Linked DNA regions of Xenopus tropicalis. The protein of the gene in region 2 interacts with the protein of the main gene of each other region in a pairwise test. Links are inferred from orthologs where the notes say so. Each region holds a gene or a part of one and is shown on either strand. Other genes may lie near its edges.

Evidence for each region. The genes of interacting proteins can lie anywhere in the genome.
Region 1: the proteins of lmna (region 2) and iffo1 interact in binary tests that used the Homo sapiens proteins (3 or more experiments, as listed by UniProt). The link is inferred for Xenopus tropicalis from reciprocal best matches to the Homo sapiens genes LMNA and IFFO1.
Region 3: the proteins of lmna (region 2) and bnip3l interact in a two-hybrid assay, tested with the Homo sapiens proteins (2 studies listed by BioGRID and IntAct). The link is inferred for Xenopus tropicalis from reciprocal best matches to the Homo sapiens genes LMNA and BNIP3L.

Annotation. Positions count from the first base shown.
Region 1 is NC_030683.2:10,038,198-10,042,411, reverse strand, and holds the start of iffo1 (intermediate filament family orphan 1), read left to right. Parts: upstream 1-1,398; 5' UTR 1,399-1,609; coding exon 1,610-2,169; intron 2,170-4,214. UniProt on the Homo sapiens protein: Nuclear matrix protein involved in the immobilization of broken DNA ends and the suppression of chromosome translocation during DNA double-strand breaks (DSBs).
Region 2 is NC_030684.2:142,913,666-142,916,011, forward strand, and holds the end of lmna (lamin), read right to left. Parts: intron 1,113-2,346; coding exon 849-1,112; intron 654-848; coding exon 624-653; 3' UTR 511-623; downstream 1-510.
Region 3 is NC_030679.2:127,988,489-127,992,650, reverse strand, and holds the start of bnip3l (BCL2/adenovirus E1B 19 kDa protein-interacting protein 3-like), read right to left. Parts: upstream 2,817-4,162; 5' UTR 2,809-2,816; coding exon 2,763-2,808; intron 2,722-2,762; exon of another isoform or gene 2,641-2,721; coding exon of another isoform or gene 2,547-2,640; intron 1-2,546.

The DNA.
Region 1 (4,214 bases), on a different chromosome or scaffold from region 2:
AAGTAGAATGGGACACTATGATTTCTGATACCAGCACTGAGTTGAAGTTTAAATAGGGTAACTCAGCAACAATCTACAGGGAACCAAACTACATCTACATTTACACACAGTGGCAGTAACATACAAAGCCACATGTGCCTCGATCTTGGTTGAATAAGGCCTTGGCTTCGAGGAGCCTGAGGCTACCTCACATTTCACCCCCCCATGTTAATCCGATCCTGACTGGCTATGTATGGATATGTATGACAGCTGATGGATTTACAGAACTGACTATAATAACCAACGCCTGCTGTTTTTCAAATGATGCAGAGAGAATTCCTTACTCATGTGCCTGGGGGTCTCGCTGCATTCCTCCAACGCTTGTCTCATACACATTCCCACGCAGCTCCCAGTCACTTGCACCAACACACACTCTATGGCTCCTGGCACAAGGGGGGGCGCTGCTGCCAGATGGCAGGGGCCTATGAATGGGCTGATTATATTTATATTATATAAATGGAAGGCTTACTCTAGCTTATAAATATATACACACACTGCATTTGGCTGGTAATATGCCAGCAGCTAACAAATGCCCCTCCCAGAAGAATAATTACACACAGGACTAATGCCACAGTCCAGCTGTCTCATCCCTGCCAGGCAGCGGCCAGCTGTCTCACAAAAGCTGGTAAAAGCAGAGCATGCTGGGAAGTCATCCAAAGCAGGGATAGTGGGTGCAGGGCAATGACTCCTGGCAGGGGTGGGAGAAAGTGCCAAAGAGCCGGTGGGCACTGTTTGTATTGCCCATCTGGTTGCACAGATGGCAGTTTGATTTGAAGACTGTAGTTGGAAAACCCTTGGGGGGTAGCAGGTTGTTTCCCCTGCATTAAAGGACAAGTAAAGGCATAGGGCTATTTTGCAGCTTCTCACATGGCTTTATTTGCCCTATAAATCACCCACAGCCTTATTATCTTGTGATCATTTATCAGACAGCGGCCACTGTATATCACCTTCCTCTACACAGAGATCCTCCTTTATATTATTATTTCCGTGTGTGGGAGCTGCCATACCTACCCCCCTGCAAAGGCAAAACAAGGGACCAGTAGACGCCCCACAAGCAACGGCGCCCTCTAGTGGTCACATTATCACCGCAGTTTTTTTGTAATCAAAGTATCAGTTAGAGAAGGGGGAAATGAGAGAGAAAGAGAGAACTGCCCCCCCCAGATGTTGGCTGTTTATTTGCCCCCCCATTAGGGCACAAAGTGGTTGTCAGGCCAATTCACTGTCCCTGGGTCTGTAGCCCTGTCCCTTCCCCGCTCCTAGCGTCCCTCTGCCCCCCCCCCCCCTCCCCGCTGCAGTTGGGGTATGGCTGAGCCTGCGGTGATGTAGGAAGGAATGCGCCCCCCCCGCCCCTTCCATCCCTCCATTCCCTCTGCGCGTCAGTGGGATGTGTTGTCTCTCCCGGGCTGCTCCATCCCCCCTGCCAACCTGCAGTCTCCGTGCCCTGGCAGTGCCCTGTGCCACCTTCCTCCCTCCGAGCCGCTCTCCGTGATGTGACTGTTCCTCCCCCCCCCCGCATCTCTCAGCCTGGTCCTCCCCCTCCTCCCCTGTCTCCGCAGTGCTCAGAGCAGCCATGAACCCCTTACTAACCCCCAACCTGCTCCTGCTCCCCTCTGATGCCCCCCTGCAGCCGGCGGAGAGCCCCACATCTCCCCCCCAGGGCTCCCTGCTGCTGGGGGGCCCCTATGCTCCCACCGGGGGGGCCAGCGCTTTACGCAATGACTTTGGCTCCAACATCAATGTCCTGAAGACCCTGAACCTCCGGTTCCGCTGCTTTCTGGCCAAGGTGCATGAGCTGGAACGGAGGAACCGCTCCCTGGAGAGGGCGCTGGAGAGGGCCCAGGGGGCCGGCCCCATAACCCGGGAGCAGGCGGTACAGACCGGCTTTGTGGGGCCCATCTTGCCTCCGCCATTATTGGGGCTCACTCGGCCCTGCCCGGCGCCTCCCCCCCAGCCCTGGGTGTATGGGGCCCACAGGCTGGGCACCCGGTGTGATGTGGCCACGGTCAGCGGAGCCTATTGGGGTCACTCAGACGGAGTTGGGGTTCAGATTGACACCATCACCCCAGAGATCCGGGCTCTCTATAATGTGCTGGGCAAGGTGAAGCGGGAGCGGGACGCCTACAAGCAGAGGTAGGACATATACACACTATATACAGTATATATACAGCTGCCAGCTGGGGATATTGGCCTGCCACTTAGCTACAGATGTTGCTGAACTAAAGCTGCCACTAGGCCTGGGGCACAGGGGAACTTTCTAGGATTAAAGGGGAACTAAACTTTGATATATTGTGTTGTGTACCCAATGCAGAATGGTGCATTTCTGCTGCCCTATCTCTAAGGCTTCATTAACTGCCCCTAGACATTAACTGCCCCTAGACCCCAATGGAACCTGTGTGGGAGCTGCCCTATCTCTAAGATGCCATTAGGCTTCATTAACTGCCCCTATACCCCAATGACACCTGTGTGGGAGCTGCCCTATCTCTAAGATGCCATTAGGCTTCATTAACTGCCCCTATACCCCAATGACACCTGTGTGGGAGCTGCCCTATCTCTAAGATGCCATTAGGCTTCATTAACTGCCCCTATACCCCAATGACACCTGTGTGGGAGCTGCCCTATCTCTAAGATGCCATTAGGCTTCATTAACTGCCCCTAGACCCCAATGATACCTGTTTGGGAGCTGCCCTATCTCTAAGGCTTCATTAACTAACCCCTAGACATTAACTGCCCCTAGACCCCAATGATACCTGTGTGGGAGCTGCCCTATCTCTAAGCTGCCATTAGGCTTCATTAATTGCCCCTAGACCCCAATGACACCTGTGTGGGAGCTGCCCTATCTCTAAGATGCCATTAGGCTTCATTAACTGCCCCTATACCCCAATGACACCTGTGTGGGAGCTGCCCTATCTCTAAGATGCCATTAGGCTTCATTAACTGCCCCTATACCCCAATGACACCTGTGTGGGAGCTGCCCTATCTCTAAGATGCCATTAGGCTTCATTAACTGCCCCTATACCCCAATGACACCTGTGTGGGAGCTGCCCTATCTCTAAGATGCCATTAGGCTTCATTAACTGCCCCTAGACCCCAATGATACCTGTTTGGGAGCTGCCCTATCTCTAAGGCTTCATTAACTAACCCCTAGACATTAACTGCCCCTAGACCCCAATGATACCTGTGTGGGAGCTGCCCTATCTCTAAGCTGCCATTAGGCTTCATTAATTGCCCCTAGACCCCAATGACACCTGTGTGGGAGCTGCCCTATCTCTAAGATGCCATTAGGCTTCATTAACTGCCCCTATACCCCAATGACACCTGTGTGGGAGCTGCCCTATCTCTAAGATGCCATTAGGCTTCATTAACTGCCCCTATACCCCAATGATACCTGTGTGGGAGCTGCCCTACTGACATGATGGTGGGACTCTCTAACCTCACTATGTTAGTGGAGCTCAGATCCAGACTACAAACAAACATGAAGATGGTCCCACAGTGCACTTGGCACTAAATATACAAAAATGATGATGAGGATGAGTAACAAAAAGCTTTACAAAGTAATGGGACAGGCCGGCAACAAGAACAGAAGCCCAAGTGGATCTCTTGGTCTCTATTTAAATGGCACCCCATGGGGCATACAGGTATGGGACCTGTTATCCAGAATGCTCGGGACCTGGGGTATTTCAGATAAGGGATTTGGATCTCCATAACTTAAGTCTGCTAAAAATTATTTAAATATTAAATAAACCCAATAGCTTTGTTTTGCCCCCAATAAGGGGTAATTATATCTTAGTTGGGATCAAGTACAGGTACTGTTTTATTATTACAGAGAAAAGGGAATCATTTAACCATTAAATAAACCCAATAGGGCTGTTCTGCCCCCAATAAGGGGTAATTATATCTTAGTTGGGATCAAGTACAGGTACTGTTTTATTATTACAGAGAAAAGGGAATCATTTAACCATTAAATAAACCCAATAGGGCTGTTCTGCCCCCAATAAGGGGTAATTATATCTTAGTTGGGATCAAGTACAGGTACTGTTTTATTATTACAGAGAAAAGGGAATCATTTAACCATTAAATAAACCCAATAGGGCTGTTCTGCCCCCAATAAGGGGTAATTATATCTTGGTTGGGATCAAGTACAGGTACTGTTTTATTATTACAGAGAAAAGGGAATC
Region 2 (2,346 bases):
GATATAGCCCCTACCCCCTGGATATTGCCCCCCACCCCCTAGATATTGCCCCTACCCCCTGGACATTGCCCCCCACCCAGCAAAGAATAAAACCCCAGTGGTGCAAACAGCTAGTGGTCACTCAGAAATACTTCCTACAGTAACTACCCCACTGAGGGGCAACTGCAACAAACCAAATACAACTCCCTGCACCGTTGGTTCTGCTCTATTAGAAAACTGAATCAATTTACGTCTTTGGCATCAAACAGAGGCATTCGCCCCCCTCCCCCCAGACTGTCTGAACTACAAATCCCAGAATTCCCTGTGGGAAGTGGCAGCGCTTCCCGAGCCAGAAGGGAGTATATAGGGGCTTTAGTGCAACAATTGCCCCCCCAGTATTAGTAATGCCCCAGTCCCTCTGCACCCCAGAACCATCCATTATATGTGGGGGGGGGGGCAGATCAGAATTAACTTTGGTTTCTGCAGATACAGGTAAATGTTGCCTTTAAAAAAATGTGCATTTTTTTTTTCTTTATAAAATTCTCGCAGTATAAAATAAAAACAAAATTTTCATAAAAAAACCAAAATCTCTCTGTTTCGCTCGGGCACTTGGGCACTTGGTGACGGCGGCGTCGGGCAGCGGATTACATTATGCTGCAGCTCTGCGGGGTGACCTGTAGGTGGCGACAGAGAGACAGCATTGCATTAGGTGAATACAATCACAGGGATTTAGTGTATGCAGCTACTGCCACCTAGTGGGCAAATGGAGACGTGCAGCCTTATTATTATTATTATTATTAATTGGCCTTTACACCAGAGTTCTGGAGGTTCTGCAGGTTCTGTTCCAGATACCCCCGACTGTTACCCACCTGGGCACGCTGGCTGTCGTTCCCGACAATGTAGGTCCTGGTGACCAGACTCTCCCCGAGGGCACTGCCCCCGCTGGTTCCCCCGGTGCTGCGGTAGGTCCGGGTCAGGGTGACGCTGGAGGATGAGGAACCGGTCGAGGCCGTGGCCAAACCAGAACCCTGGGAGCCTAGAACCCCCTTCTCAGCCGGGCGCCCACAGCTGGTGCAAACGATGGTGCGAGAGCGCAGGTTGTACTCCCCGGGGTCCCCACTATTCTGCCCATCCTATGGGGGTACAGGGGGGAGTTACAGGGGGTCATAATACATGGAGCAAAGTTTCCTACTGGTCTACTATTCCCACTGCTACTATAGGCACCATCTCTCCCTACTAGACCTGCTATCCCACAGCCCCAGTCCCTTCCCAGAGGCTATTATCCCCCCACTGCTACTATAGGCACCATCTCTCCCTACTATACCTGCTATCCCACAGCCCCAGTCCCTTCCCAGAGGCTATTATCCCACTGCTACTATAGGCACCATCTCTCCCTACTATACCTGCTATCCCACAGCCCCAGTCCCTTCCCAGAGGCTATTATCCCCCCACTGCTACTATAGACACCATCTCTCCCTACTATACCTGCTATCCCACAGCCCCAGTCCCTTCCCAGAGGCTATTATCCCCCCCACTGCTACTATAGGCACCATCTCTCCCTACTATACCTGCTATCCCACAGCCCCAGTCCCTTCCCAGAGGCTATTATCCCCCACTGCTACTATAGGCACCATCTCTCCCTACTATACCTGCTATCCCACAGCCCCAGTCCCTTCCCAGAGGCTATTATCCCCCCACTGCTACTATAGGCACCATCTCTCCCTACTATACCTGCTATCCCACAGCCCCAGTCCCTTCCCAGAGGCTATTATCCCACTGCTACTATAGGCACCATCTCTCCCTACTATACCTGCTATCCCACAGCCCCAGTCCCTTCCCAGAGGCTATTATCCCACTGCTACTATAGGCACCATCTCTCCCTACTATACCTGCTATCCCACAGCCCCAGTCCCTTCCCAGAGGGCTATTATCCCACTGCTACTATAGGCACCATCTCTCCCTACTATACCTGCTATCCCACAGCCCCAGTCCCTTCCCAGAGGCTATTATCCCCCCACTGCTACTATAGGCACCATCTCTCCCTACTATACCTGCTATCCCACAGCCCAGTCCCTTCCCAGAGGCTATTATACCCCCCACTGCTACTATAGGCACCATCTCTCCCTACTATACCTGCTATCCCACAGCCCCAGTCCCTTCCCAGAGGCTATTATCCCCCCCACTGCTACTATAGGCACCATCTCTCCCTACTATACCTGCTATCCCACAGCCCCAGTCCCTTCCCAGAGGCTATTATCCCACTGCTACTATAGGCACCATCTCTCCCTACTATACCTGCTATCCCACAGCCCCAGTCCCTTCCCATAGGCTATTATCCCACTGCTACTATAGGCACCATCTCTCCCT
Region 3 (4,162 bases), on a different chromosome or scaffold from region 2:
AATATGTCCTGAGTCACACACACCAACCCAGTGTGATCATGATCCAATCACCCCATAGGCAAATGGCGGGTCAATATGTATCTATATCTTTATTTCTGAAGTGCTACTTATGTACCCAGCACTGTACAGTAGAACAATAGATTAATGCAACAGGGGGGTTATTAAAATAATAATCGATAAATACAAAGAACAATAAATACAAGGTACAGTTGTAATAAATCAAAAAGACAAGAGGATGGAGGTCCCTGCCCCGCAGAGCTTACAGTCTAAATGGGAGGGTAACTTACAGACACAAATAGGAGAATATAAGTGCTGTAAGGTAAATAAGAACTTCACAGTGAAAGTGTGGGTCACTTAGGTATTGTCTGACCATTCCTCACAAGCAATGAAGGTCTAGAAACCCACAGAAATCAATAAGTAGTATTTACTAGCCACCCACTTTAAACTCAAAACCACTTGGTTGGTTACTATGGGTTACTCGAACGGTGTAAACACTTATGATCTTATGATAGTGTCCCCAAAGGTGCAGCTACAATGAAACATATGCCACACACCTACCCCGCTGTCTCAGCGTCCAACATCAACATCACCAGATTTCTGGCAAACACAGCGCAATACATATTCAAATGCTTCCTCTGACAGTTAGGCATGTAAACATAACAAAGAGAAGCCTGAAAGGGGAACTATCACAAAGGCATAAATGCAACAGAAGCCTCATTTCATGAGACCAAAACTTTCTCCTAAACGACTACTTTCTATTACCAATAAGATGAAGCTTAAATTCAGAAAGAAAAACAGTTATGGGACATTACAGCTGCAGTGAATGGATTCATAGAAATAGTATATATTTTTCCCTAAAGATGATGTAGTGACTGACACACGTTTGGCCATGTTACATAACCATATAAAAAACAAATAAACAGAACCTGGGCTAGCTAGAGAAAACAATGAACTGCCAGGTACAGGTATGGCTTTCCTTATCCGGAAACCCATTATCGGAAAGGCCGTCTCCCATAGACTCCATTATAAGCAAATAATTCTGACATTTAAAAATGATTCCTTTTTTTCTATAATAATAATAAAACAGAACCTTGTTCTTGATCCCAACTAAGATATAATTACCCCTTATTGGGGGCAGAACAGCCCTATTGGATTTATTTAATGGTTAAATGATTCCCTTTTCTCTGTAATAATAAAACAGTACCTGTACTTGATCCCAACTAAGATATAATTAATCCTTATTGGGGGCAAAACAAGCCTATTGGGTTTATTTAATATTTAAATGATTTTTAGCAGACAAGTTATGGAGATCCAAATTACTGAAAGATCCCTTATCCAGAAAACCTCAGGTCCAGAGCATTCTGGATAACAGGTCCCATACCTGTACATGTATAACACCAACATTGTCCCAATATAAACCAATATCACTGGCTATGACTACCAGATTTATTATAATCTCACTCTCCTGCAATTAGGCAGTCATAATACAGAGTGCTACAGTAAAATGTCTTATTTGGAATATTTTTCATAGGGCTAGCCCTGGCATGCCGTCTCTTGGCCGGGAGTGTCCAAAGGATTACATGACTAACAACATGCCAAAAGTCTTGCTACCATGCAATTGTATGCATTATAAAACACACACACACATACCTCTCTAAAGGTGGCCATACACGGGCTGATTGCAGCTGCCGATATCGGCCCCTTAGAGCGATTTTGTACCTTATTGGCCTGTGTAGTGGCCCTAACAACAGGCCTGCCCGACCGATATCTGGCCTGAAATTGGGCAGGTTAAAAAATTTAGTAGGATCGGGGACCACATCGGCTCGTTGATGCGGTCCCCGAACCAACTGTGCCTATTACCGGCGCTCTAATTCGATTGTTTGGCCCCAGGGCCAAACGACCAAATTAGCCTAAATTCACCAAATTTGGGAGATCCGCTCGCTTGTATGGCCACCTTTAGTCATCAGTCTAAGGCTGAGGTCCCCAAACTTACCGGCCTTTGAGCCACATTCAAATATAAAAAGACTTGTGGGGCAACAAAATACAGCATATTAGAAGTGAATGAGGCAGAGGTGACTTCTAATATCCTTATATTTGACAACAGGGGGTATATTATTTCTTATAATAAACACATTTCAGCAAGTCATGTGAAAGATGACATCATTAAGGAGCATTTCTAAGGATACAAGGTACAGAACAGCCAAGGCTCCTGTGTATTAGAAATATATATTAAACATGATCTGAAAGATACATAGTAACATATATTTAAAGTAAATAACAGATGGCAAGTGTTTGGCGATGACAGTGAGTGTACATGAAGCTATAGGCTGGCCCGTACATAAACACACACGTCATCATTCCCACACACCCACCCGTGTAAGTGTGCCTCGGCACTGGCAGCCACATGACTGGGCACATGTATGAAGCACTAATAGCGAAACCATCACACTATCAAGCTCTTTGATATGAATAAAGTACAGTAACCCACAACAACAATGCAGCGCCGCTTCTCCCTCTAGTCTAGTCCATGTAAGCTCCGCCCTTACCTACACCTAAATCTCCCATTGGACCGCATCCGTCATTCCAAGTTCCAGTCCCGCCTACACTCATTATCGATTGGCTCCCACAGCTGCCCATCATGGGATCCCGCCTAAGCTTCGCACCCAAACATTGTCCTGAGCTCGTTCAAATTCTCGCCGTTCGACCCAATTGACGGGCGCTGGAATCGAAACGAGGTCCTAGTTACACAATGTGCTTCTTACCGTGCAGCGCGGCCTCCTCCCCGTTGTTGTTATTGTTCTCGGACATGGCGACAGCAGCAGCTTTTAGTCTGTCCGGGAGACGGAGCCGCACTGCGCAGCCACGCCCCGTCTGACGTTAATCAGCCTCATCACCTGAGGCGGAGGGGGCGGAGTCGGCTGATCACGTGATGTTGTTAACCCGTAACGCAGTACTGCCTCTCATTTGTTGCTTCTGACAACTGTGCGATAGTTTGTTTTAAATTATGGTGTCACCTATTGTTTAGGGCAGTGATCCCCAACCAGTGGCTCAGGGGCAACATGTTGCTCCCCAACCCTTTGGATGTTGCTCTCAGTGCCCCCAAACCAGGGAGTTATTTTTGAATTCCTGACTTGGGGGCAAGTTTTGGTTGAATAAAAACAAGATTTCCTACCAAATAAAGCCCCTGTAAGCTGATAGTGTGCATAGAGGCCCCTAATAGCCAATCACAGCCCTTATTTGGCAACTCCATGAACTTTTATGGTGCTTGTGTTGCTCCCCAAGTCTTTTTACATTTGACTGTGGCTCATGGGTAAGAAAGCTTGGGGATCCCTGGTTTAGGGTCTTGTCTTATGGTCCCCATACATGGGCCGACTATAGCTGCCGATATTGGTCCCTTGGACCGATTCGGCAGCTAATCGGCCCATGTATGGGGAGAGCAGAGCGGCCTGGCCGACCGATATCTGACCTGAAATTGGCCAGATCTTGATCGGCCAGGTTAGAAAATCCGGTCGGATCGGGGACCGCATCGGCTCGTTGATGCCCCATTGCAGCCCACATAATCCCCCCAGACCCCAGGGCCAAACGATCGGATTATTCTTTTTTTTACCTAAATTCTCCCCGATATCGCCCACCTGTAGTTGGGGATATCGGGTGAAGATCCGCTCGCTTGGCGACATCGCCAAGCGAGCGGATCTGTTCGTGTATGGCCACCTTAAGCCATTTTTAAACGTATGGGACCGGTCTGCTACTGTCTAATCGCTTATAGGCTCAGCAGGGAGCATGACTGGTCAGGTGTGTAAAGGCATGGCTGAGTTGCTGTGGGTGACTGGATATGGGTGAACTTTGTGCTTTGGTGTGTTTGGTTGTTTACATATGGGGGTTATTAACACTGACACGGGAAATACTCCTACAGAAATGAGAACTTATTTTTGAGTGGCTTTAGCTGCCCCCCTAAATCACACTAAGGGGCATATTTATATATATTTATATAAAAAGCTGTGTAATATAAATGGAAAAGATCGCCGCCTGAACGCCGGATATTACGCCGTTATTTTCCATAAGTTCCAGGGGAAGAAAAAACGCGTAAAAAATTACCACCATTTTTACGCTGTTTCTACACAGCGAAGCCTGCCGATGTGTGGCGAATTTTCTCGCCGTTTTA